Astyanax mexicanus: one gene and its partner. The protein of the gene in region 1 purifies or fractionates together with the protein of each later gene. This does not show direct contact. Links are inferred from orthologs where the notes say so. Each region holds a gene or a part of one and is shown on either strand. Other genes may lie near its edges. The genes, in order: snx4 and snx7.

Evidence for each region.
Region 2: the proteins of snx4 (region 1) and snx7 purify together in Homo sapiens (affinity purification with mass spectrometry; 3 studies listed by BioGRID and IntAct, counting the BioPlex papers as one, with this or other methods). This does not show direct contact. The link is inferred for Astyanax mexicanus from reciprocal best matches to the Homo sapiens genes SNX4 and SNX7.

Annotation. Positions count from the first base shown.
Region 1 is NC_064418.1:37,869,011-37,882,105, reverse strand, and holds the start of snx4 (sorting nexin-4), read left to right. Parts: upstream 1-7,348; 5' UTR 7,349-7,383; coding exon 7,384-7,473; intron 7,474-8,258; coding exon 8,259-8,383; intron 8,384-12,537; coding exon 12,538-12,679; intron 12,680-12,764; coding exon 12,765-12,914; intron 12,915-13,095. Other genes in the region: tgfbr2l (TGF-beta receptor type-2), read right to left, coding at 5,684-5,738. UniProt on the Homo sapiens protein: Involved in the regulation of endocytosis and in several stages of intracellular trafficking. Plays a role in recycling endocytosed transferrin receptor and prevent its degradation.
Region 2 is NC_064413.1:37,367,083-37,380,075, forward strand, and holds the start of snx7 (sorting nexin-7), read left to right. Parts: upstream 1-7,917; 5' UTR 7,918-8,049; coding exon 8,050-8,157; intron 8,158-11,343; coding exon 11,344-11,535; intron 11,536-11,635; coding exon 11,636-11,746; intron 11,747-12,287; coding exon 12,288-12,452; intron 12,453-12,993. UniProt on the Homo sapiens protein: Involved in the regulation of endocytosis and in several stages of intracellular trafficking. Together with SNX4, involved in autophagosome assembly by regulating trafficking and recycling of phospholipid scramblase ATG9A.

The DNA of each region.
Region 1 (13,095 bases):
CAGTGAGTGTGTGTGTGTGTGTGTGTGTGTGTGTGTGTGAGTGTGTGTGTTTTGGGGCAGAGTAGGGAGGGGGGTTGTGAGTGACTGTGGTCATGTTGGGTGTATGCAGCGTTCCTTCCCACGCATCCTCTCTCCGCTATCCTAACGCTGCCACATCACAACACTATTAATTGTGGATTGAAAGCAGATGGGGGGTGGGATTCCTTCACTCGGAGAGCGTGGTGATCTAACAGAACCAAGTAAACATTAAAAGAAGCTGCACAGATATTTCACAAAGACTTCCAGATGTTCGCTGATGCCAACCATCAAAATATACAAGTCACTGAGAGAGAGAGACAAAGAGAGAGAGAACGAGAGAGGAGAGAGAGTAAGAAAGAAGACTAAAAGGCTGCATAAGCAGAAAAAAGCCCCCTCTCCAAACTTTAAAGTAATTAAAATCAGCAGTGACTTCTCCAGAAATAAATTGAAGCCAGAAGTGTTCACTCGGGCCAAGTTTGAAGCACAACCCCTCTGTACTTATGGGAAATCCAAAGGCCACATGCTTACAGGAGGCCCAGAGATGTTGGCCTGCAGTTATTTGCTTTGCAGTCAGGCATGCGCTCTTCTCCATTCTCTACTTGTAATTCAGCAGGTCTGCCCATTCTAACACACTAAATGAACATTCAGTATGACACAGGGCAGCATGATGCAATTTCTGAAGAGAGATTGTCATTGTTTTTATCTTTTCAGTGAAGACAGAGGCCAAAAATAATACAGACTTAAGAGCAGGGGCCTGTTAGTTTTCAAGCTTTAGTTTAATGTATAATACAACCACAGATTACAGTATTAGAAATGCAAATTTAGAAAAAGTACAGAGTTTTTTACTATTGCTTTGACTTTTATTTGACTGCAGACAGTAGGAACGCAATATTTTTCATGTTTATCTGTTCAACTTCATTGGATGGATGAATAGATAGATGGACAAATTGTATTTTAACAAATTAAATTAAGTTGACTACATAAAACATTAAATATCTTGGGTTCATACTGTCTGCAATCAAACAAAAGTCAAAGGAAATGTGAGAAAAACTCTGTTTTTTTGCACTTTCCATGCTGTCCAACCCTTTTCTGATATGGAGTTGTATTTGATAGTAAGAAATCTGCAGTATTTTTCAGTCTTTTAGAGATGGGCCAGGTTAAGGTTAGCTAATGCTATGCTGGCTGGAAAAACATATATCTTGGACTAAATGTGAACCAATTCAGCTGGAGTTAACAATAACCAATATTTAAAGGGTATTTCCTGGCAAAATAAAGGCTGTGACAGACCAACAAGATGTAGCCCAAAAAACAACATCCACGTGATGCTTCTTGCTTGATGGGATGATGTAGATAATCAAAGGCCTTTAAACAAGGAGGAGAATGATCAAAACAGGATTTCTCAGTTTAGCAAGATAACTTTACCCCAGAATTGATTTTGCCTATCCAAAAGCTGAAAGATTTTTTTTTTGGTAAGATAAACTAATTCGAGCTATGGAGAAATCCAGCTTTCATTTCTCTGTCCAGGCCTCATGAGTGAAGAAAGGCTGCACTGAAACCTTGTTTTTTGAAGTGCAGTAATCAAACTCAGCCACTGGGAGGCATGTTGGCCACCGTTTACTGGCCTTTAAACTCAGCATGCTCCTTGAAAGCATTTCCTGAATAAATTAATAACAGCATAATCATAACATCACTCAGAGGCCCGCTCACACGCATGTGACATACAGATGTCTTCAGACCCTCTCAGCAATAATCCATTGTTCTCTACAGCGGCTCTGAAAGACGAAGCTCTGAGCTAATTTCGCGAGATTAACAGAAAGAGAGGGTGCCATCATCACCACATTACTCACATCCCTTCCCCCTAAATTCATTTGGAGACAGAAGAGACAGGTTTCCCACAGCTGCCAATGCAGGGCCTGTTATCTCATGCCAAACAATAAATAGCCATTTATCTTCTAATCTAACTTCTAATCATCGTGGTTCTCTTCTCTGGGTTAGCAGACAAGGCCGAGGCCTGCAGAGAACAATTCTCTGGACTTGTCTCAAGTAGGCAGAGGAGAGAAAACACAACGGCGTGTGTCTCCACTCTCCGCTCTCTGCAGGCCATCACGGGTCTTTACAGCCACAGGGTGGCTCCGGGCCTGTCAGCATCATATCCCTCACTTTAGGCCTGACAATATCAGCATTGTACGGAACCGTGATGGCAGGGCAGCGAGGAGAACAGCACATCAGGCTCTTCAGATTTGTTCTGCAAATCCTTTGTGTGGCCACATTCATCAGCGCTGGCACCACGTCTCCACGCGTGCCCTCTGCCCCCTTTCAGAGTTCACCAGAATTATTTTTAACAGAAGCAATTTCCAACAACAGTCAGAGAGTGTGGCGTGAGGGGACGAGGAGGTTATGGTTTTCTTCTCTCCACCCACATGGTAATATTTCATAATTGTTGTTGAGGGTCTAACTGCTCGCTCACACACCCATTCCATTTAAGGGGGCCTCTGCTGTGCAACAAAGATAATTTGGAGCCTCAAGATGGATATCCTGCTGGAAATTTCCACTGCATATTATACAGTGACATTGCAGCGTGGTCACACTCTGTTGACTTGTTTCATCTGCACAGCAGAAATCCTGCTTCTAATTATAATATTTGGGTGGTGGGTTTAATTTCACAACATGCACGTCCCTGAACATACACTTTCCAAAAGAAACCTCCAGTTATACTGTGAACAGACAGTTTCTGTACAGTTATGTCAAGAAACAAAACAGTAGATCTTTAATAATGTATCATTGCAGTCCCCTTATATTTGTGGTTGCTGATCATGCCAATATACAGTATATACAGTAAATGATGAGATGCTGAAGGTCAAAAGGCCCAATTTATGGGAGTAGAGGAGAAATACAAACTAAAACAAACTAATATGAAATAAGAACTAGTTATTTAGTTGCAGAATTAAATATAATATTCAGTTTAATGACCTGAGGTCCATTCCCATTGTCACATGAGAAGGAATAGACTCCCACCCCCAAACACAAGCTAATATAAGACATTCAATACTTTCTCCTTTGCTTGACTGATAAAAGCATACAGTAGTAGTGGAACACACTGACACCGCTCGGACATTGCCCTCAAACATAAACTGTCCCAACCAACAAAGATCTATAGTAATACTATACAGCTCCCAACACTTCAGTATAACACTAAGAGTATATAGTGCTGTATATATACTTTTATAAAAATACTGCTCAAATTCTTGTAGTTTATGTAGTTCTTGCATATGTGAAATAAATTAAATCTAAATGATGCACCCTACCAATCACTGCTTGTTTCATTAATCTTTCAAAACTATCTTGTACTGAATTAGTGATTAACCATCAATGAGACAAAATCAAATAACTACACATTAAAATAAAACTTCAGTGACAATAACACAGTAATCTCTACACACACTAAGTCTAATTGCACAATAAACCAATTGCTTTTAAATCAAGTAGCATGAATAATAGTATTTAAAGCCAAATCTGATAATGTTTACTCTCTATGCTGAGGAAAGTGTCTCTTTGGGTAACTCTTTGAGAGGAGTGCTCCCACTTTGTGACTAGAATAACAGTTAACAGATTTTACAAAAACGTGTCTAGAACAAATTGTAAAGAGTGATATCTACTGAGAAATAGAATAGCAAGGTTTTTGTAAAGTTGACTGTAAAGCAGTAAGATATGCTAACCATTACAATTATACGGGGCTATACAATAATTTTATAATAACCTATATTTCTTTTATAATATTAAATAATTTATAATATTCCTATAATCATATTTTACAATAATATGTATTAATTGTGTTGAATATGATACTAAACTACAGTAATTATACAAGATTTTAAACTGAATACTGTAATAGTATTTTAGAGGAATCCTGTTAATCTCTGTGTTAATCTCATATGAAATACTGCATGTCTGATTAATCTATATAACTCTACTGTACTGAGGTTTATTAGTAAATAATCTTCAATGAAACAAAGAGGTTCCGAAGCAAAAACAACGTTAATTTCTACACATCAAATATAATTGCACATTAAAATAAGTGCTTTTAAGTCAGATATCATAAACAATGGCATGTAAAGCGGAGTCTGATCATGTTTATTGTTTACTCTCTATGCTGAAAAAGATTTATTATAATGTATATCAAGCATTGTCACATGACAAGGAAAAGACCGCCACTCCCAAACACAAGCTAATGTAAGACATTCAATACTTTCTCCTTTGCTTGACTGATAAAAGCATACAGTAGTAGTGGAACACACTGACACCGCTCGGACATTGCCCTCAAACATAAACTGTCCCAACCAACAAAGATCTATAGTAATACTATATAACTCCCAACACTTACAGTATAAGGTGCTGTATATATGCATGTATAATAAACTGTACTTATGTTTTTGTAACATATAGTATTTGTGTATTCCTATCTTACAATACTTAGCAATAGAAATTGATAGTAGTAGAAAAGGAATAGTAGAGTGAAAGTCAAACAGCATAAACAACTGCATGTAAAGTTCTTTATGCTGAGGAAATATCTCTTTTTGTAAGGTCGATTAAGAAGCATAAAGAAAATAATATTCTGTATGCATGATTAATCTAGCTAAACTATATTAACAGTATTGAAGTTTATTAGTAAATAATCTTCATTGAGAAAAATGGGTTTGCGGGAAAAACACTATATTCTCTTAACATTAACTATACTTAATAATATAAGTGCTTTTAAGTCAAATCAGAGTAAACAATGGTATCTTAAGCTGAGTATGATAATGAGTATGAAAATTTCTAATTGGGTAAGGGTAATTATAAAGTATAAAGAAAATAGAATCGATTTAATCTATACACTATTGACGTTTATTAGTAAATAATCATCTATGAGAGTTTAGGGGTTTAAAAAACACTGTAATTTCCACACATTAAATCTAATTGCACATTAAACTAAGTCAAACAGCATGAGCAATCACATGTAAAGTTAAGTCTAATCGTGTTTACTCTCTATGCTGTGGAATCTCATTGGGTAAGGTTAACTATAAAGTATTAAGAAAATATAATCGATTTAAGATATACAGTATTGACGCTTATTAATGAATAATCATCAGTGAAACAAAGGAGTTCAGGGTTTTAAAAAAACACTGTAACTTGTACACATTAAATCTAACTGCACACTAAACTCAGTCAAGCAGCAAAATAGTGTATATGCCTGGTGACGAAATATAGAATAAGAGAATATGCACACATGAGACAATACCAAAAAAGTCTATATAATAGAGTTTAAAACACACATTAAAACGAACTGCTTTAGCTTTTAAGTGCTTTTAAAGTCAAACAGGTTGATGAATGGCCTTTAAAGCCGAGTCTGATGGTGTTTACTCTGTGCTGAGGGAAATGTCTCTTTGGGTAAAGTTAGCTCTTGGAAAAAGGGCTCCCACTTTCTGAGGCTAAACTAGATAACAGATTACAGTATTAAGATTAAGCCTTTGTCTTCCACCTTCTGCTGTAGACTGTCATTCTCTTAAAATACAACTAGAACTAGCTATAAAGAGTGATATCTGCTGAAGAGAAGGTGTATATTTAGGTGAAGTCTTTGTGAAGTTGGCTGTACAGCAGTAAGGATAGGCTAAAGTCTCCTACTCACTCAGAGAGAAGAGAACAGATGTTAGAGCCGAGAAGCTGCAGCGCATGCGCCCCATAATCCCGAGCCACGGATCTCCGTTTAAGGTTCCCCGAGCTGCTGGACTCTTTCCTTTCTTCTAACTTCTCCTTTCTAACTCCTTTCTCTCCCACAGAGCAAAGATAGCTAGCTTCACATCTATGAGCGGCTATCGGTTCTGTCCTACGCGCTGGAGCAGGAGCTGCTGGGACTGAAGGCTCTTTCTGGCTCGCCTTTCCCTGTAGGCGGATCCAGATGTTTTTAATCCAGCTGTGTGAGGAGGCCCGCCCAGGAACTCCACTTTATTCATGTAGTAGATCCTTTAAAAGCCTATTCACTCTTCAGCAGCCTTATCAACTCGAGATACAGAGCTAAACTTTAGAGGAGCAGGACTTTATAGTAGTACAGTGAGGTTTGCAAAGATATAGGTTATTCTTAAAACTTAGTTTTAACTGATAAAAACAGACCAGATACACGTTGAACCCAGTGAACACAGGCCTGGAGGCATGTGCACATAAACAAAGCCTGCAGGAATGAGGGAGAATGTACCGGCATTTTACCGACATGAAGTCTGAAATAATATAGATTAGAGATTGATTATATAATAATTAAACATAGATACTGATTTAATAAAAAGACAAAAGATGTGTATAGTTGTTCCTGCCGATGGAGTATCTTTACAGAAGTTACAGTATTAACTTCTCTTCTTAACAATCTTTTTATATTTTTATACATTTATTTTACCTACAAATATAATATTTAGAAACTACATGCATATGTACACCACATAAAAATTAGGCTACATGAAATTCATAATTTCTAATAACACATACACTGATTTTATATTAATTTATATGAATTATATAATTGTATATTTTATATGAATAAGCTAAGATAAATACAATCATAATTTAACAATAATATTCCCACGGGGGGAAATTTGCAATGATACGACAGCATAATGGATTTTGTTTTGTGACAATATTATATGAATACATAAATCAAAAAAATATTGCTTAAAATTATAAATACATATTTTAAATGAGATTTAATTATTTAAACATTTTATTTAATTACAGAAAATAATTTTCATTTAAACAATGAAATGAATCAATTTAAATAATTTAAACATTTTTCTACTATTTCTTTATCATTTAAAATATTTATTTTTCATTTCAAGCAATTATTTGTTTATTCATTTATTTATATAATATTATCACAAACCCCTACATAATTAGCGCAGAGGACAGAACATGCAAATGACTAGAAATTATAAATTACATGCGATAAATTTTGCATTTAATTCAACCCTGTTTAAAATAGAATATGTGAATTAATAGCCTACAGAAAATAAATATAAACCTAAATACAATATCAAGCAGGTATATAATTTAGTATTTTAATTTAAAAAACAATAATGTTCATCATTGTAATATTAATCATAATCATCTACCCATTTTTCCCTCTTTTATTTCTTATTAGGGGGTTTGTGTGTGTGTGTGTGCGTGCGTGTGTGTTTTTTGCTGAAATTATTAAATGTTTTTTTAATTATTATTTATTCAATAAATATAAAATTTCATTACAGAGTATCAGTAAATAAATAAATAATTAAATAATTAAATAAATAAATAAATAAATGGGACTGGGAGAAACGCGCATGCGCAGAAGCCGGACCACAGTTCAGGATGATGGCGGATACGGGAAGCGAAGAGATAGCGGTGATTGGAAACACAGACCTGACTCCCTCCGAGTTAGAGAACAACATTAAAAACACGGTAAACTGATCGCTGTTATTTTCTGATTTGAGCGGAAACGCGGTTCCTCGGGCTGCGGCTAATCCCGCGCTGTGCGGGTGGTTCGGGCTGAGGGAGGCCGGGGGAGAGTGAGAGGGGAGGCGGGCGGACAGCTGGCGGTCTGATCCGCCTCAACAGCTGGAGCTTTAAACAGTCTGAACCAGTCTGAGTCTAGTGAGCACTGCTGTCTTACTGCTCACCTGACCAGCACCTCACATTACACAGAACATGCTCAGATACCTCTGATTATGTACAGATAGTTTACTATACTATACTCGGTGGTTCTCAGCAGTTTCAATCCACCCGTCCCCTGATCGCAGCTAGCTAACATTAGCTAGCCTGGGAAAATTTTTACTTTTCTATTCGTTGACTAGTTCGCTCAGGAAACAGCTAGTTATCTGGCTTTCACTCTTTAGTTTCACTAAATCATGTGTCAGGCCACTTTACACAAATTCTAAAATAGTTAACTGTCCAGTAGAATGTCCGTCATAAAGCTCAGTTAGCCACTAAAGCAGGTTAGCTATGTGTGTTTAGGTACAGAGAGTGTTTACCTCGTGATGTGTCATCAGATCTGTCCTGTACCAGAGAAACTCACAAAGACAGACCCGGAGACAGTCACAGCACTGCCACTAACACCTATACAAGATTCACTAGTGGTTATATTTTAACCACAGTGGGATAGAAAACTAGTAAAATGTGTACTTCTACTCTCTTCCCCTTTCCATATGAAATAGATATGCTAATCATATTCTGATTGTGTCCTACAGATGGTGGAGAAGGGGGCGACTCTTCTGAAGAGGATGGAGATCAATGTGGCTGAGGCAGAGAAAAGGACAGGGAAGAATGCAGTCAGCATGCAGGAAACCTACACTGTTTATCTCATTGAAACGAGGTAAATCACACTACATCAGAACAGCGTGAGAATAAAAAACATAGGCCATAATTGAAACGTTTCTTGTACTAGTTAAAACACAATATATACTAAAAAGATGCAAAATAAATACTGGTAAATATTAACTTAATATTATTAACATATATTTACATTATGGCACTGAATGTACAATATATACAGTAACAGTCAAAAGTTTGGACACAGCTACTTATTCACTGTTGTTCCTTATTTCTTTATTTAATTTATTTTCTGCATTGTAGATTATTATTAAAGACATGAAAACTATTAAATGACACATCTGAAATTACATAGTAAACAAATAAAGTGTTCGGCCTCCACAATCCCCTGACCTAAACCCTACTGACAGAGTATATCTGTCCAGTATTATTCATTTTTCTTTAGTCCTGGGATATATGGAGATGCATGGAGTGCATTATTAGTATCACTACATTCTGGGTCATTGACTTTTGTTACAAACCCTGCACACACAAATTACCGGTCATTTATGATACAAAATGCAAGCCTAAGCATTACTCCTAGATGTTATATTTCTGAGATTTCTGTTTCTGATCAAAAATAGTTGTAAAGTAAGGTTTCTTATGTTACTTACTAAGAATGCCGGAATGTATGTGTTTATTTTAGTAGCATAGTTTAGTAGCAAAAATGCGGATGTGAATAGGAGACCTCTAATAATCCATGAGAAAATAATTTTAACTTGAGAAATTACAGAAAACGAGCATGCTTTCGTTATACAAATCATGAAGTGTTACCCCTGGGGATGACTTCGGAACGCCCAGACCATTGTATTTATAAGATGTTATATTGTAAGTGAGATATGGAAAGGCAACCTAAATATTGTAGTGAAAGATGGTTGGGATGTTCCTTTCTAAAGTTTTGTGTGTATCATGTGTGTACCTGAAATGAATCCTAAAACTCAATGATTGTAGCATCTGGCAGCATCTGGTTTAAATTGTCAGTACAGAGAGACAAGTGACTCAAAATTCACATCCACATTTAATGCAGTATATAACGTATATATCCTGCAGGTCAGTGCAATTTTTTTTAGCTTCCATGGGGCAGGGCACATGATACTAGTCCAATGCCCGGCTAATATCAGTAAAAATACTTTAGCTCATACTTTGTCAATCAAAATAGAGAACCTTGCATTACATCATCTCTGATTTCTACTATTACAACTTCATTATTGGGTCTATAGGTTACTAGAGAAACCACAGCCCAGTGCAAAGCAACACTAGTCCTTCAGCGAGAGTGTGAAACATATCACATTGCTGGAAAGCTGTTCCAAGTTTTTTTTTTTTTCTCCACAGACCCTAAACTAAAGTCTGTCCACAGGATGCAGGCATGTACAGAAAAAAAGATTGTGGGATAGAGTTCTCCCTATCACCCCCATCATACATTCTCTTTCTTTTTTTGCCCAAAAAGCTTTGTGCTGAAAAAAATCAAGACATACCACTTTTGACATTTTGGCAGAGTCAGCAGTTCCCGCAGCCATATGCTCTCTGTAACGTGTTTACTGCAGAGCTGCAGACACATGCTTGCCTGAATCGTAGTCACATGACACGCATTGATAATCATCACAACATTTGCCTTTTTATCACTCCATCTAACATCGAGCTGAGCCGAATTGTGTGCTCTTGTTTCAGCAGGGCTGTTCTGTGGTCAGCGTTAAGCACGCATACAGTCAGGTCAGCATCTGAAATACAATCAGTCATGGCAGAAACAGCAGAGAGATTTTACCCAGCAGGAAAATTGAACTGTTAAGGAAGGCATTTGTAGGATGCAGGACTGCAGGCAGGGAGACCTGTCTATTATTTGTACCTTATTATTTTGCAGCCATGTCTTTGTAATTTGTGCAGCATGTGGTTTTGCGTTGTCTTTTAGAAAAATGCATGGATGTCCCTGATAAAGATGTGGTTTTGCAAGCAGCATTTTTGCTCTGCGAAAGCCCTGGCTTGTTGACTTGTTGATAGTTACATTCTGGACTAGAACTCACTGCATCCTGCATTTAAAGAAAACAAAAAAACAATAAAAAATCTGAAATCCTGTTTTGACTGACCACAATACATATATTTCAACTGTGTCATGATCCATCCCAGATGCTTCTGAGCCCAGAGTAGTTAACGCCACTTCTGTGCATGGTTGTCATAAGGATGCTCTTGTGTTCAGTAAAGTTTTAAGTGGCATTTTTTAAATATAACTCTTTATTGACAAAGTGGTTCCTTGCGCATATGGTTCACATAAATGTATGAAAAGTTCACTTATAAAAAGTGCAGTATATCATCTTGCTCAGAGTATGACAATACATCACAGTATATTGAATCGTTTCTCTTGTACTGGGCCTATACGAACCATGTCAGCAGGTTATTGCCAACAATACATAGCAATATATTGAGTACTGCTTTGCGCTGCATCAGGAAACAAAAAAAAAATCTCCCTAGCTCAAACTTGGCCTTGGAGTTGAATAGAGTTATATAGAGCTGTATATTGTTAGCTTGGCCCATGAAAGGAAACGCATGTTTTTGTAAGGGTTTGTGCAAAGTGCGCTACACGCACAGGCATACATAAACACACTCACTCACACAGCCTGTACGTATTTACCCCAGGCAGCTCAGGGAGAGAGAGTGAGAGGGGTTTTGGAGGTTTTGGGGTAAATGGGTTTTGAGCGCAGTCACGCAGTTGGGATGGAGAATGCCCCCCAGCAAGTGTGGAGCCTCTGCCTTTGTGGTGTGGGTTTTCAGCATAGAGCCCCATTATGTGCTCTCATTTCCTCCCCTGAGTCCTCTGGATCCTGGGCTCTTGTTTCGTGGGCTCCATCATCTCTCTGTCCCCCTCTTTTTTTTTTCTCTCCTTCTCTCTTACTCTCTCTCTCTCAACTTCTCTCCCCTCTCTCTACTTTGTGCTTATGCCAAGTGCATTATTGCATAATAAGTAGGCTACGTGCTTCTCATTAAGTATAAGACTGTGCAGAGTAGTGAAACGATATAGTAACATTCCTCCCCCATCCCTGCTTTCTCTGCTTTATACTTGTGTACTTAGCCCCTAAATTAGAAGCACTTGTGGTTCCAGGCACTGGGGATTCACTGAGATTACACGTCACAGTTCAATTTCTGGCATGTGTTTGAACAGGCACTTAAGATGTCTGCCTTTGTGGACGACATCTTAGCCGTCTAAAACTTTGCGGATTTCTGTTTTTGTCTTCGCTTGCTCTGTTTAGTTTGGACGTGGGGTTAAACCATTGAGCAATCTCGCATTTCCCTGTTGAAAGATTCTCAATATCTCTGTATATGTAGAAGTATATTTTAGGCTTGGTACATCCACTACCCTGCATTCTACATTTGGTTGCTTACTTTTTGTCTTCAGCTGCTGGAGTTTGTGGTACACAGTGAGAGAACTTGGTGCTCAACCGTGAGGTTGAGGTTGGATCTCAGCTGATAACATCAAGTCAGTGTTTCCCTTAAGGAAAACATTACGCTGTCAAAATGGTTTTATTACATCTTATTTTAGAAAAGTAATAACAGTACCTCATTCATGCGGTTTATCCTAACTGGTTTCCACTATATTCAAGTCCTCATTAGCACTGTGGAGCTATTAGCGTCGGTAAATTGCTTTGGCAAGATAAAGTCAGGTTTTATGTGACTCCTTAAGTCTTAAAGGGCCTTCTATTCATTAATCGTTTATCTTTAAAAAACTGCTTTAATTTGTCTCAAAATTTTGTTAAATCCGCCAAAACCCAAAAGTCTTGTAAATACAGTTTAGTTATCATTTTTACAAATTGCATTTTGCAGTTTCTTCATTTAATATGCAAGTTAGCTAACTGATTTCACAACAGACTGATCAAGCTAAACCAATGTTAATTTTTATAGATCTAAAGGACAGAAAAAGGCATGGGAAAGTGATCTTTTTTCAGTATAAAAACACCTTAGTATACGAACATTGCATTTTTGTTTGTGCAAAACAAACTTAATTTATGTTTGTGTTTGTGCGTTTTGCCATTTTGTCATTGTTGAAATTGGTATTAATTTTGTTTCTAAGTAGTAAAAAAGTTTTAAATTTCCCCATATCTGCAGATAGCCTGTTCAGTTCTTATTGAAACCTAAGCCATGTTGTTGTGTTCTTTCCTTGACCTTTTCCAGGGCAGTGGATCCTTCATCTGAGGGGGCCAATCCAGCTCCTCCGGACTCTCTGTGGAGGCGCTACAGCGAGTTTGAGCTTCTCAGAAACTACTTGTTAGTCACATATTCATTCGTCGTAGTTCCACCTTTGCCTGAAAAGCGGGTAAGTGAAGTGACTTGCTCTCTTGAAAACAGCTACAGTATTTGTAAACCTGTAGCTGACTGTGTTTGCTCTGTGTTTATTACAGGCAGAATTTGTGTGGCACAAACTCTCTGCAGACAATATGGATCCGGACTTCGTGGAGAGGCGAAGGGTCGGCCTTGAGAACTTCCTGCTCCGTGTTGCCTCCCACCCAGTTCTGTCTAATGACAAGATCTTTTACTCTTTCCTGACGCAGGTATTGAAAGAGTAAAATATCCTGCGCTGTATTTATTTCTGTAGAGAGATGTTTCATTAATCATCTACTGATCAGCCCTATAGTATACAGTTCATAAAGCGGTCGCTGGAAGAAACCACGGCCAAATCATAATCCAAGCAGGGCCACAGCTAAGTATTATTTTCTTTATCAGTGAATCATT
Region 2 (12,993 bases), on another chromosome or scaffold:
AAACTCAGGAGTTGGTGAATACTAAATAAATAAATAAAAATGCAGATATGATTCAATTTCTCAATAGAGGACTTTTACACTGTGTGCATCTTACAGGCACTTGTGGTCCTTTATTTTAAAGTCTGTGTTAAAATAAATCTTTAAAACCTGCAAACAGGGACTGTCCTGAGAATCTAAAAACGACCACTGCTGTTATTAATAAAACTCCTGAAAGCGAAGTGAAGTGAAATGAGCGGCGTGTGAGGAGGAGGTGTGGGCATAAGGTCTAGGAAATGACGGTGTAGCAGCCATAAGCCTAATTACTGAAATCAAGTCAGCTGTGCCGTGTGCCTGGGCTACATTCATCCAGCACCCTCCTCCTTCTGTTCCCTGCTTGCCTGTCCCCTCGCTTCCTGAACCCAGCCTTCTGTCAGACTCTCAAGTTTGGAGAGTAAACTACAGAACACACTGGCTCTGTGGATGAGCGTCACGTATCTCGGAAACATGGTGCTCTGTGGGTTGTTTTATATATGCGTATTTAAATGAGCATGTAATTAAATGTAATTGAAATTTAATAAAATAATAAAAGAGTAACTGAGGTTTGTTTTTTGCATTTCGTTTTTTTTTTTTTTTGGAAGGAAGGAAGGAAAAAATGATTGATTTGCCCCACCAAACGTTCACGGCATCGTGTTTAAAATAAAGGAAGAAATGAACAATGAACTCAGAAACAGCAGCAGCCACACCTGATGCTTGGCATGCGTGCGACACGGTGATTTGGAATTCCGCTGAACGCACTTGTGCATGTTCTCTACTTTCCTTATCTCCTCGGCTCAGCCTGCAATCACTCGCCTCTCTATTCCAATTTATCTTATTTCTGGCTGATTGATTAGTAATGCTTTTTTTTATTTGTTTGCGGAGGAGACTTAATTAGATTTCACAGGTTAGAGGTCCACATACTGAAAGTTCAAGATAATCATTATTATTCTAATTAGAGGATGCCATTAAAGCAGGTTGTTGTGGGACATTTGGAAGGCGAGCGGGGCACTGGCGTGTGGCACTGCTGTCAGTGTCATTAAGACCGCTGTACAGTCTTGTAGTAGGACTCTTGTAGTGGCTGGGTCTGCATAGAAACAAGAGAGAGAAAAAAGGCACAACACAATATGTTGAGCCACACACAGCATTGCAGTAATAAAAAAGGACACAAAGTGCTGCGTTTTTGAAAAAAGGACATGGACATTTGAAAAATGTCAGCACTGTGAGTTGAAAAACAGTATGTCTGAATACGTCTCCCTGAAAGCTGAAATTTCTGCATCCGGCCTTGATTGCTTTAAATGCTATGAATCACTGCTTCCTCTTAACCTAAGGCGGGAATTCTTTCTTTAGTGTGTAGAAAAATTGTGAATTTCTCAGAACTCAATTAGAGATTTCCGATATTCTTTTTTCATGCATGCATGAGAGCAGAATGAGAGCAGATCTTTCATCACTAGTTCAGGCCCATATTTGCCCATTAGTGCCAGCGAGCAGATGACTTGAGGAGAGGCTTGGTTATTAGCCAACCTTTAGACCTTCTTCAGAAGCCATTGTAACACATAATGGCCGAAGCAGGCTAACTGATGGCAGATGCCAGGTCTTTGTACAAGATGTGGTACAGCGTTCCTTCAAAAATGAAGAGAAAGCAGGTCAGAAGTAGGTACTAGTAGCTTGGTAACGGAACAAAAAAAGGAAAGCAGAAAGCAGCAGAAGCATGGTGTAATGAGTGATCATTAATATGACGTGTACAAGCTTCTAATGATGGTTATAATCAAGCCACAGTTGTTGGATTGGACACCTGGTAGGAATTCAGCAGCAGTCACATTTAAAATGCATTTAGGTGCATGATTGCATCCATATGAAATCCTATGTAATGGTTCCCATCTGAATTCAGGAAATCTCCAGGAGCAAAAAGGATGAAAAATCGTAAAAAAAAGAGAGATAATAACCAGAGCACACGTCTGGGGGGAAAGGAAATAAATAAATGTGTGCTTTGCAACTGCGCATCCGCCAGTGGTGAGAGATGCTAGTCTGCATGTGGTTTTAATTAGAAAGCAAAGCTTTTTGACAGCAAATTGATTTTTAATTGTTCACTTCTGCACTCACTCCAGGTGGCTCGGAATCATCTTCATTTGCTGTTTTACGCGCTTGATGCAGGGTATAAAAACACCCCACTACACAAGATGGTGAAGACCTGCCAGCTATTTGTTGCACCAAATCGCACAGATTCCACGTTTCAGGGATATTTGGGGATATTTGGGGGTATTTAGACATAATTGTCTGAAATGCCTCCTCTAGCCAGAGTCTGCGCTCTGAAACAGCAGCAATAAGGGATTTTCGAAAGACGGTCTGCTCGGCCACTCTAATGGCCCTGACAGGAAGGAAATGCAATTTGAAAGGAGCTGATCTATGTAAGCCATTGTTGTGGCATAATGCTGATCTAATTATTAACCACCACTGATGGAGGAACAGTGCTGTGTGGATTTTCGCCGGGGCAGATTTGGGATGATGCCATTGGATCGGTGTTGGGTGCCAGCCTGCTACAGCTAGAGCTGCTTTGAATCTCTGGAGGTTAGGGCCATGACTTTGCTTCTGCCCCATTGCCACTAGTCCCTCTATACCCCAACTGCAAACCAACATCATGAATTAGAGGAGTCAGAAGTGGAGATGTAAAATACAATGCTGGCTACAAATCCTTGTTCAACCTCAATGTTAATTTTTTTGTTTTTTTGCATTATTTTATGCATCACATCTCTGACATGTAACATGAAAATCATGTGAAAAACACTAACTCCAAACCTGCTTGATAAAGAGAAAAGCTGTTTAATTTGTTAAGCAGGGTAATATAACTATGGGCTTAGACTTTTACTGACAGATGTTTGGGTTTTGAGCAATTGCTTTGGGTTTAGAACCATGTGTCCCATCATTCAAAGGTGCTGGAAGTGACATCTCGACTTCTAAGATGCATGAAGAACAAGTAACAAGATCCCAATCAGGTTTAGAGACTATCAGAGAGTAAGCTGTTCCAGACCTCTTTTTAAAAGCAGACTTTGCCTTTTCTGAGGTGCCATTTATCACTCACATTTTGTACAATTAAGGAGCAATTAATGCCCTGTATTGAACGGCTCTCACTAATGCTGGCACTCCATCAAAGCCCAGCACATTGAGCTCTCACTTTAAAACCATCATCAAGAACACATATCTGAAGTGCTGCACTCAGATGGTCGACATAAAACAAAAAAGAGAGGAAAAGGAGAAAAATACAGGGAAAAAGTGATCCTAACATCAGGTTTATATCAATCTCACAGACAAACGATATCAAACGGCAGCAAGACAATACGATTGTGGCGCCTGTGACCTTTTCTGCATTCGGTGCTCTACCAGTCTGGGTTGAGCACAGTAAAGGACTGACCTTTGTAGAATTATTCTAATACTGCCTAATCTGAATTGTTGAAGGATATGCTACTCACGCTTTGTGCAAAAGGTTACACAATCTGTATGGTTGTGGCATCATTCCAAGGACTTCTTATTTGTTGGAGCTTCTGCAGGTATCAACAGTGTGTACCAGCAAGATATTACACCACACTTTCTAATTAGAGTACCTCTGATTGCCTTCCCTCTACATTCATTCAAGTCACTGTGATAAAGACCAATGAGATAGATCTATTAAACACTACAGTCGCTACTTCAGAACTTCCCAGATAACATCTTAATTTAGGTCTTCTTCATTCATATAGAAACCTGGATTTGCTCTAACTCATTACAGCATCATCAATTACAACTAATTGAACAGATTACTGAATTCATTGACTGATGATTGTACATAGTCTATACATGCCTTCACATAAATCTGAACAGGTATCATTCCCAGCTTTGATCAAACTTTAAGCAGAACCAAGCACCACTTCTCTCACTCTTAATACATTGTTTTCTGTATCTAATGCCATGAGTTTCATTATGAAGCTACATCGAGAAACTTATACAAAAACACAGACATGCACAGACCACTAGACAAAACCAGACAGACACACAGACCTGCCACATGAAAACTTTTCATGCCAGATGGCTCTGCTGTGCAGTTGGCTGTGCTACAGTGACATCTTTTGGTGATGCAGATCAACTGCATGACCAAAACAGGTAACAGACCTCATGTAAATATGAGGTTAAAAGTAATATACTAGTGCGGCAAAAAAAAAAAAAAAGTAGAATATCAGTGAAAAGTTGCTTTATTTCAGTAATTCAGTTCAAAATGTGAAACGTGTATAGTATACAGATGTATTACACACAGAATGATCTATCTAATCATTCATGTCTTTTATTGTTGGTGATTATGTCTTACAGCCAAAGAAACCCCAAAATTTGAACCATCACTGATTGAGGAAACTTCACACTAGACCCTAAGCAGTTTGGATTGTGTGTCTCTCCACTCTTCCTCCAGACTCTGGTCTCTTGATTTTCAAATGAAATGCTGCTGGTGTTGGTCCACGGTGTTATATCAAGTCCAAAGTCAGTGCAGTGTTTTCCTGGAAAATCTTACAGCACTTCATGCTTCCCTCTGCTCACAACATTTATGGAAACGCAGATTTCATTTTCCAGCAGGACTTGACACACTGCCCACACTGCCAAAAGTACCAATTGGTCTTATAATATATAATATTCAAATTTTCTGAGACCCTCATTTTTGGGGTTTCAATGGCTGTAAGCCATAAGGATCAACGATAAAATAAACAAATGCTTAAAATAGATCACTCTGTATTAATACATCCATATAATATGAGTTTTGCATTTTGAACTGAATTCCTGAAATAAAGCAACTTTTCATTGATATTCTATTTTTTTAGATGCACTAGTAAATAAAATTGTTTACAGGATATAAGGCAGTTTCCATCAAAGCAGACTTTATTATAAAGACAAATCAACTCAATATTATAAATTCAACATTTAGTGGATCTGTACTCTACATAGTTAATTGTTCTTTGTTTCTGTCTTTAAAAGAGTTGCACTTCTTTGAAGCTAATAAAATAAAGGCTGCATAATATTGGAAAAAGTATGACAATTATTTTCACATTTGATATTAATCATGATTAATGAAAAAATAGTTAATGTACTTTAATGTACAAGTGTACAGCAATTTATTTTGGTACAAGCTGCTTAAGCTGCTCAGTTGAATCAGGGTTTGAGTTCTCCTCCACATTGCTTCCTTGTTATACACTGGATAGGGAGTAGTTATGTAAATACAAATATGGCTTTATGTTTGACAAGACAGTACATGCCCACACACAATGTGAAAAATATTACAGAATTAAAGGAAAATAAAAATTAACGATAAGGGAAAGACTGCGTCAATTACAGTTTGTGAATGTAAATTGTGATTGATTTTTAATTACTTGCCCAGCCCTCTATACACATTGTATTTTTCACCAGAAGTCAGCAATCCAACACGTGATAATATTAAAGATTCAATCCATTTTTTTAAAACAATGGAGTAAAATATACAACACTGAACAGATATAGTATAATATATCATGGAAAATAAGAGAACATTGAGAATTTCCCTTTTGCATCAAACAGCAAAAAACTTTTGACATATAGGCTAACAAAACCTCATGTAACATTATACATCTAGCAATGTGACTACTGAAAATATACACGTTGTAATGGTGATGCTAAAACAATATATTGCGCAGACCTCATTCAAATTACTTGAACTCTAACTCAATTATATTTCCAAAAGGGATACATTCATTTAGACCTCATTTACATTCCTAAAGGTCATGAAAGTTTCTTACTTCTCTAAACCTTTTTCATTTCAATTAAAAATACAATCAACTTTATGTCAATGTAAATGAAACTGCCCATAACTTCCAGAAGTCCATTAGCCTTCGCAACACACACCTCCACAGCACAGGAAAGCATATTGTGACTCATTATGTTACATTTTAAATTAGTTACGTTTTCATGATTTTGAAATATAGATGCTGTTTGGCTCCATACTTCCACTTTTAACGGAGTATGATTTTTTATATGCAGCTCAATTTCCATTAGGCTCTCTGTACTTTTCCACCTGTTTATAAATGAGCATTCTACATTTAAATACTTAAACTCTGATAAAGTTTTCTTTCTAAGACATTTAGGTTTTACCTTCACGTATATTTTGGTGATATAATTTGTGCTGTTGTTGTAAGTAGAGCTCTTGATTTTACACATTAAACCAGTTTTGACAAGTTACTAATATGTACAGTACCAGTCAAAATTTAGTGTTTCCCATTATTTTCAAAAGTTCTGCAGGTCATGCAGAAAAACATATGGAGTAATTTAGTAATTAAAAAGTGCTAAACAAAACAGAATATGGTTATATTCTGGTTATATTCTAATAATGTAGATACTTCAAAGTAGACACCCATTGCTGAGATAACAGCTTTGCAGATCTTGGAATTTTCTCAGTCAGCTTTATGAGGCTGAGTCACCTGTTGTGGCTTTCAATTAACAGCTGTGCCTTGTCAAGAGTTAATTACTTGAATTTCTTGCCTCTTAATGTGTTTGAGCATCAGTTGTAAAGTTGTGAAGAGGTAGAGCTGGTTAACAGTGAATACTGTTGAATAACGTTTTAATCCATATTATAGCAAGAACTACTCTACAAAGTAAAGAAAAAAACTACTTTAAGAAATAAAAGTCAAGAACTTTGGAAGTATCCTCGAGTGCAGTCGTAAAGACCAACAAAATGTGATGAATCTTTCTGGCTCTCCCCAGGAAAGCAAATACATTTTAGGCCATTTTTTTCAAATGTACTTAATATATTTTAAACATTTTACATATGTTTCATTCTGCGTAGGTTTTCATTTAAGATCAGTTTTTCTGCACCTTTTTTTCATGTTTATACAAAAATACTACTTTTACATGTTTTTATTCGGGTACTTTTACTCTATAGTAATTTTTGTATTATCACTTTTGTCATTGACATGTAGTTTAAACATACAGCTCTGGAAAAAAATAAGAGACCACTTCAGTCTCTGAATTAGTTTATTTGATTTTGCTCTTTTTTGGTATATGTTTAAATAAAACTGACATTGTTGTTTATTCTATAAACTACGGACAAAGTTTCTCCCAAATTCCAAATAAAAATATTGTCATTTAGAGCATTTATTTGCAGACAATAAGAAATGGCAGAAATATCAAAATGATGCAGAGCTTTTAGACCTCAAATAATGCAAAGAAAACAAGTTCATAATCATAAAGTTTTGGTTCAGAATGGTTTAGAAATCAATATTTGGTGGAACAACAATGGTTTTTAATCATAATTTTCATGCATCTTGGCTTGTTCTCCTCCACCGGTCTTACACACTGATTTTGGGTAACTTTATGACGCTCCTGGTGCAAAAATGTAAGCAGTTCAGCTTGGTTTGATGGCTTGTGATCATCCATCTTTTGGGATCATCCATTTTTTTTATTTGGTAAAATCAAAGAAACTCATAATATTTAAGTGCTTTCTTTTTTTCAGAGCTGTAGAATGTTGGTGATTGCTGTGCTGCATTTACTGTACTCTGTACTACTAAGTTACCTCTCACTGTTGTTCTACAGTGAAGGGAGCATGTTTTTGTTTAGTGGGTTTAATTTTCCTTAAGCTCTAGAATGTTTTGGAAAGCTTTCAACTGAAGTATCAACAACAGGCTACGGACGGTGCATTATGTGAATGTGGGTTTACTAACTAGTTATTTTTATTAGAAACACACAGGGCGAACCCGGGTCTACCCCAGCAGGCCGGGCTACTTTTCCAGTTTGTCCACCTGAACTTTTTCTCTCTCTCTGTGTGTATAGCTCTATCTATCTACTCACTCAGCCAGGCCTTCCTCTCCACTGCAGATTCAGCTCTTCTTTCCTGAAATGGTATTTCCGATTCTGCGCACTCTGCTGCCCCTGCCTGTCTGCCCGCCTGCCTGCCTGCCTGCCAGCCCGAGTTTCAGAGTTTCACTCTGGCGGAAAAGTTTGCATCATGATCAGTGAAGTGATCTGCTGATCTGAGAGAAAGGAGAGATTTGAGCCATGATGAGCGGGACGGTGGTCGACAGCGGCAGTCCCACTGCTGCAGTCCCGGATGAACTCTCAGGACAAATACTGGACGAGGACGAGGATTTTGAGGTTTTCTGTAAGGTAAAAAAACTCGCTGTCTCAGAGCTTGTGGAGCAGGAGAGGAGCTAGCCTCACTGAGACCACAGAGATAAATAGTGTGATGATGGCTGCCGCTACGTGGTCTGTCTGTCTGTGTGTTCATGTGTATGTGTAACTTATATAACGTTATAGCAGATAAACTGAATTGTGTAAAATTGTGTTTGAAGCGGTTGAGTTTGAGCTAGCTTAGCTAATTCTATCTAACTTCAAACTAAGCTCAAACTAAGTTAGTTGGAGTGAGTGTGCAAAAGTGGACACTCCCAGCATCCAGTCAGTTCAGTCTGTAGCCTAACTATAACAAATGAGAGCTCTCTCTATACAAACAAATACATGCTATCTAATACTAATACACAGTTTAGATAATAAAAAATAAAGGAAAATACCTTATTATCATTGTTAATGTTTGTCGCCGCCGCGTTGTTTTCCGTGTTTACGTTTAGTGTTGGGGTCCAAAGGTCAGAAATCAGCTGAGGTTATTGTTATTATACCAAACCCTAACTAACTTACAGCTTTAGCTAATTCTCTACACCGTTTATCTGTGTCTGAAACACAAGAAATGCTGACTTAACCTGTCAATTACCCTAACCTGTCTCACTCAGCGTTAGTTAACCTAGTTAACGTTAGCTATGAGGGAGTGTAGTAATGATTTAAGTCTCTGTAACCGGATTAAAATAGCTGCTACCTAACTATATATAAATACGTCCCAGCGTTGCTAGGGTTACAGACCGGTCACAGCTAGATATGAGTGTTATTTCTGTTGCTATTAGCCATTAGCATTTCAGCCCAATCAAATAAAAGATTAACCTAAGCTAGTAAGTTAGTTAGCTAAGCTAGCTAGCTTAGGTCAGTTCCATTTTTATAGCTTAGGAATGATCAATTTGAGGCAAAATATTGAAATAAAATATTGTGTGTACAACTTAATTATATGATTTTGTCAATTTGGCATAGTCAAAAACTGTTTTTCATCCATTTTTCATTTCTGCCCAACACAAAAAAAGTAAACTCTGTAATATGATTTTGTTCTGTTTTCCATTTAACGTTACTTATCTTGGAACAAATGTATGTAGCTAGGTTTAAAACATCATATTTTTGTTACAAAGTGCAAAAATGAAAAAAATGTTTTTCAATATTTCAGACTGTGAGGGTGCAGAATTTGGAAACTTGAAAAATGGAAAAAATATATATATTTTTCTTCTTTGTTATGTCAAACATAAAAAAATAAATAATAAATGTTACCCTCAATATTTTATTTTCAAATGTAGCCTCGAAAGGTCAGAAAATAAATCTGATAAGTGTTACAGTGACATAGCTGACCTAGATAACTGAATTTTGTTTTCAGAACGTTTGTGTAATGTTTAACATGTTTAGAGTGCTCCTTTAACATTCATTTGTCAGGGTCAGGGACCTTAATGCTTTTAGAATATTTCATTAATATAATTGTTGTAACAATGTTTTTCCTAATGCTGGCAAATGTTTAGAAGAGTTACATTTTAGAGTAATATTTAAGAGTAACATTTGCTAAATAGGTTATTATTGTAACATGCAAAATGCAAGGTTAGGTAACCTAAATTTTTTTGGTATTTTATTTATCTTTTTTTGGGGGGAGGAGTGTTTTCTCCTAACCTTCAGAAAACCTTGGACATTGCTGAGCAGTTTGTTTAATAATTCCTTGTTTTAGGACCTCCTGAAATCTGCTGACAGCAGTGGAGTTTGTTTTGACAGGAAGCTTCCATGATAGGAGGAGCAGTGAGGCTATGCAGTAGAGGTGTGCCAAAAAATCGATTCACATAAGAATCTTGATTCTCATTTACTACGATTCAGAATCGATTTAAAATGTCCCAAAATCGATTCTGAGGGGCGGGTTTTAGACTGATTTTGGGCTGGGTATTTTTGTTGGACCTGGCAACCCTGGGGATAGCGCTTGTCCTTTCAAACGGAGATCTTCCAGACACACACAGAGCGTAGGTGTTTGAGAATCACCGGTAAGATGGCAGAACAAGCACTATATTACATTAGATTAACGTGTAGTTTCAATGTTTTATGGCAGAATGCTTCATAACAAGCATAAAAAAGATCGCTAGTAGTTAGTTTCAGTAACTGTTAGCTAGCTAACTAGCTAACTTTCCAGTTCCACCTTAAATAACGCTACAGGTGGCAGCGGGCTGCAGCATTTAAGGCGGAACGGAAAAATACAATAAGCTAATCAGAGCTAATTTCAGCTCCTCATCACAGAGGAATTAAGGAATGGACCATATGAATTAATTTCTCCACCTCCTGCCCCCTTTCTGAAGAAATACAACGACCTTAAATTAACTAGTTAATCAGCAGCTGCTCCTGAACTTTAGCGCTCCACTGCTATCATCACATCAGCCCAGCAGCGTCACCTACACACCACCGCTAGTAGCCTGGTAATAAAGCAGTGTTATTTATTATTTATTTATTGTTCATTAACGTCATTGTGATATCCCAGTGATTCCTCTGTCACTGAGGACCCACATTCCTGCACATTTTATTGTTTTTGTAACACATTACCTGCTCCAGGACCAGTGTATATTATGGAGGGTTTTTTTTCAATAAGATTCATAAGCCAGAAGCAGAAATTTTTATAATTCAAATCGTTTTGAATCAAAAATCGATTTTGAATCGAATCGTGGCCCCCAAAATCGGAATCGAATCGAATCGTGAGATAGTAAACGATTCCCACCCCTACTATGCAGGCCTCTGCTTTTCCTCACAGATCTGACCTATCTATCTGAGAGTTTGGATAAAATGAGAAATATTTGCATGAGTCTCTGATTGAATGGTGATAAGGCAGTAGGCTTTGCTGGGAAACTCTGATCAGGATACACAGACAAAACACACTGGCACTACTACAGCATGAATGATTTTAATTTTTTGACTGAGTCTTCACAAACTGCTTTTGCAGTCAAAGAGCGCAATAAATGCTTAATTAAGAAGTGTTCTGCAATAAAGAGATGCACAGCTTATGACCAAATCCAAAATAGTAATAGCTTGTCACTTAGTTAATAAGTGCAGGAAGAGTACAAATGCTGCAATGTAAAATCAATGTCAGTGTTCTGATGTCCATGTGAGCTATAGAGTGATTTTTTTAGAGCCCAGTTTTGTCTCTCAAACCCAATTTTGTCTGTTTTTCTTGTCTTGTTGTAGGATTCAACCTTCACGGACGGAGGCTCTTTGAATGCCTCCATGCAAACCTCCCCTGGCTCAATGGTCAATCAGTACAAGTTTGAGGAGGAGGAAGAGCAGCCTGACACTAAAGACATTTTCGTCACAGTCGATAACCCTGAAAGCCATGTGACTGCCATTGAGACTTTTATTACATACAGGGTTTTGACCAAGGTACATCACAAACCACACTCTGCAGATTAGTGCTTGAAAAAAGGATTCAACTTCATTTACCATCTAAATGCTTAAAATGTTTTTCTCTCTCTGATATTAGACCACCCGTAGTGAGTTTGACTCCAGTGAGTATGAAGTCCGCAGGCGCTACCAAGACTTCTTTTGGTTAAAAAGCAAGCTGGAGGAGGCTCATCCCACGCTTATTGTTCATGTAAGTGATCTAGAGATGAAGGCATGCAATCTTTCCTCTCATTTGCAAATGCAGCCATTGTATGTATGTATTCGCATTTCAGGCTTCTATCTAGATATGTTAAAATGTGATTTAACTGATTTAAGAGGTGCTAAGTTCTATTTAAATAGAACTTGTTTTTTATGTGCTTTATATACTGTCACTTTCAAAAAACAATATATTAAAAACATATTTCCAAAACAGGAACTTTACATGAGATGGTTAAATATTTGTAACTTTTTTCATGTTTATTAATATATATGATATTTTCATTTGATCGAATCAAAAGAAGTCAGGTCAAATGAACTATCATCACCTGCTAAACAATACAAAAATATTCCTTAATCTATTGTATGTAAATTCATATTAATTTGTATTTAGAAACAGAAAAAAAGGGATTTAATCGGAAAAGGGTAACACTGAACATTGAACAAAAAATACAAGGCTTCGACTCAATCTAACCTTGTTATGTCCTTTGTTCTCTGCTGTCATGCTGAACAATGGCTTGTTTGTGCTGCTTCAGCCACTGCCAGAGAAGTTTGTGATGAAGGGAATGGTGGAGAGATTCAATAACGACTTCATTGAGACCAGAAAGAGAGCGCTGCACAAGTTTCTCAACAGAATAGCTGAGCATCCTATTCTCTCCTGCAGTGAGGATTTCAAGATATTTCTCACAGCACAAGCCTGGGTAAAGCACAAACACACACACACACGAACACACACACAACACACACAGTTACAGTCGCAAACCCCTGGAGCCATGCCTGCTCAGTAGTGGGTTTTCAGACAGAACCAAAACAGATGATATGATTTTACACGTTAGAGATGGGCTGGTCAGGGTTTAATAAACCAGCTCTGTTACAAGATATATAGCAGATATTTTCATTTTATATACTTATACATTTCAGAAACTCAATACAAGTGCAATATAAACATCCTGTCAATCCTAATCTGATTATTTCTTCAACATATGCACCTTTTTCCTATTCATGTTCACCTATGCACTCTTGCAGTTCCTCTCTTAGGATCAGGCTTTGACTGCAGGAGGTGCACTGAGGGATGTGTTAAGACTATAATGTGAAAACCTGCATGATTCCATCACAGTTTGATATAACCCATGAATATCTGTTGCTGAAAGTCAAAACGCTATTTCGTGTAATAAGAAATTCTTTCTTTTTCCTGCACTGGAATGCAATGATGATACTGTCAGTGTTTCCATCCTGCTCCTG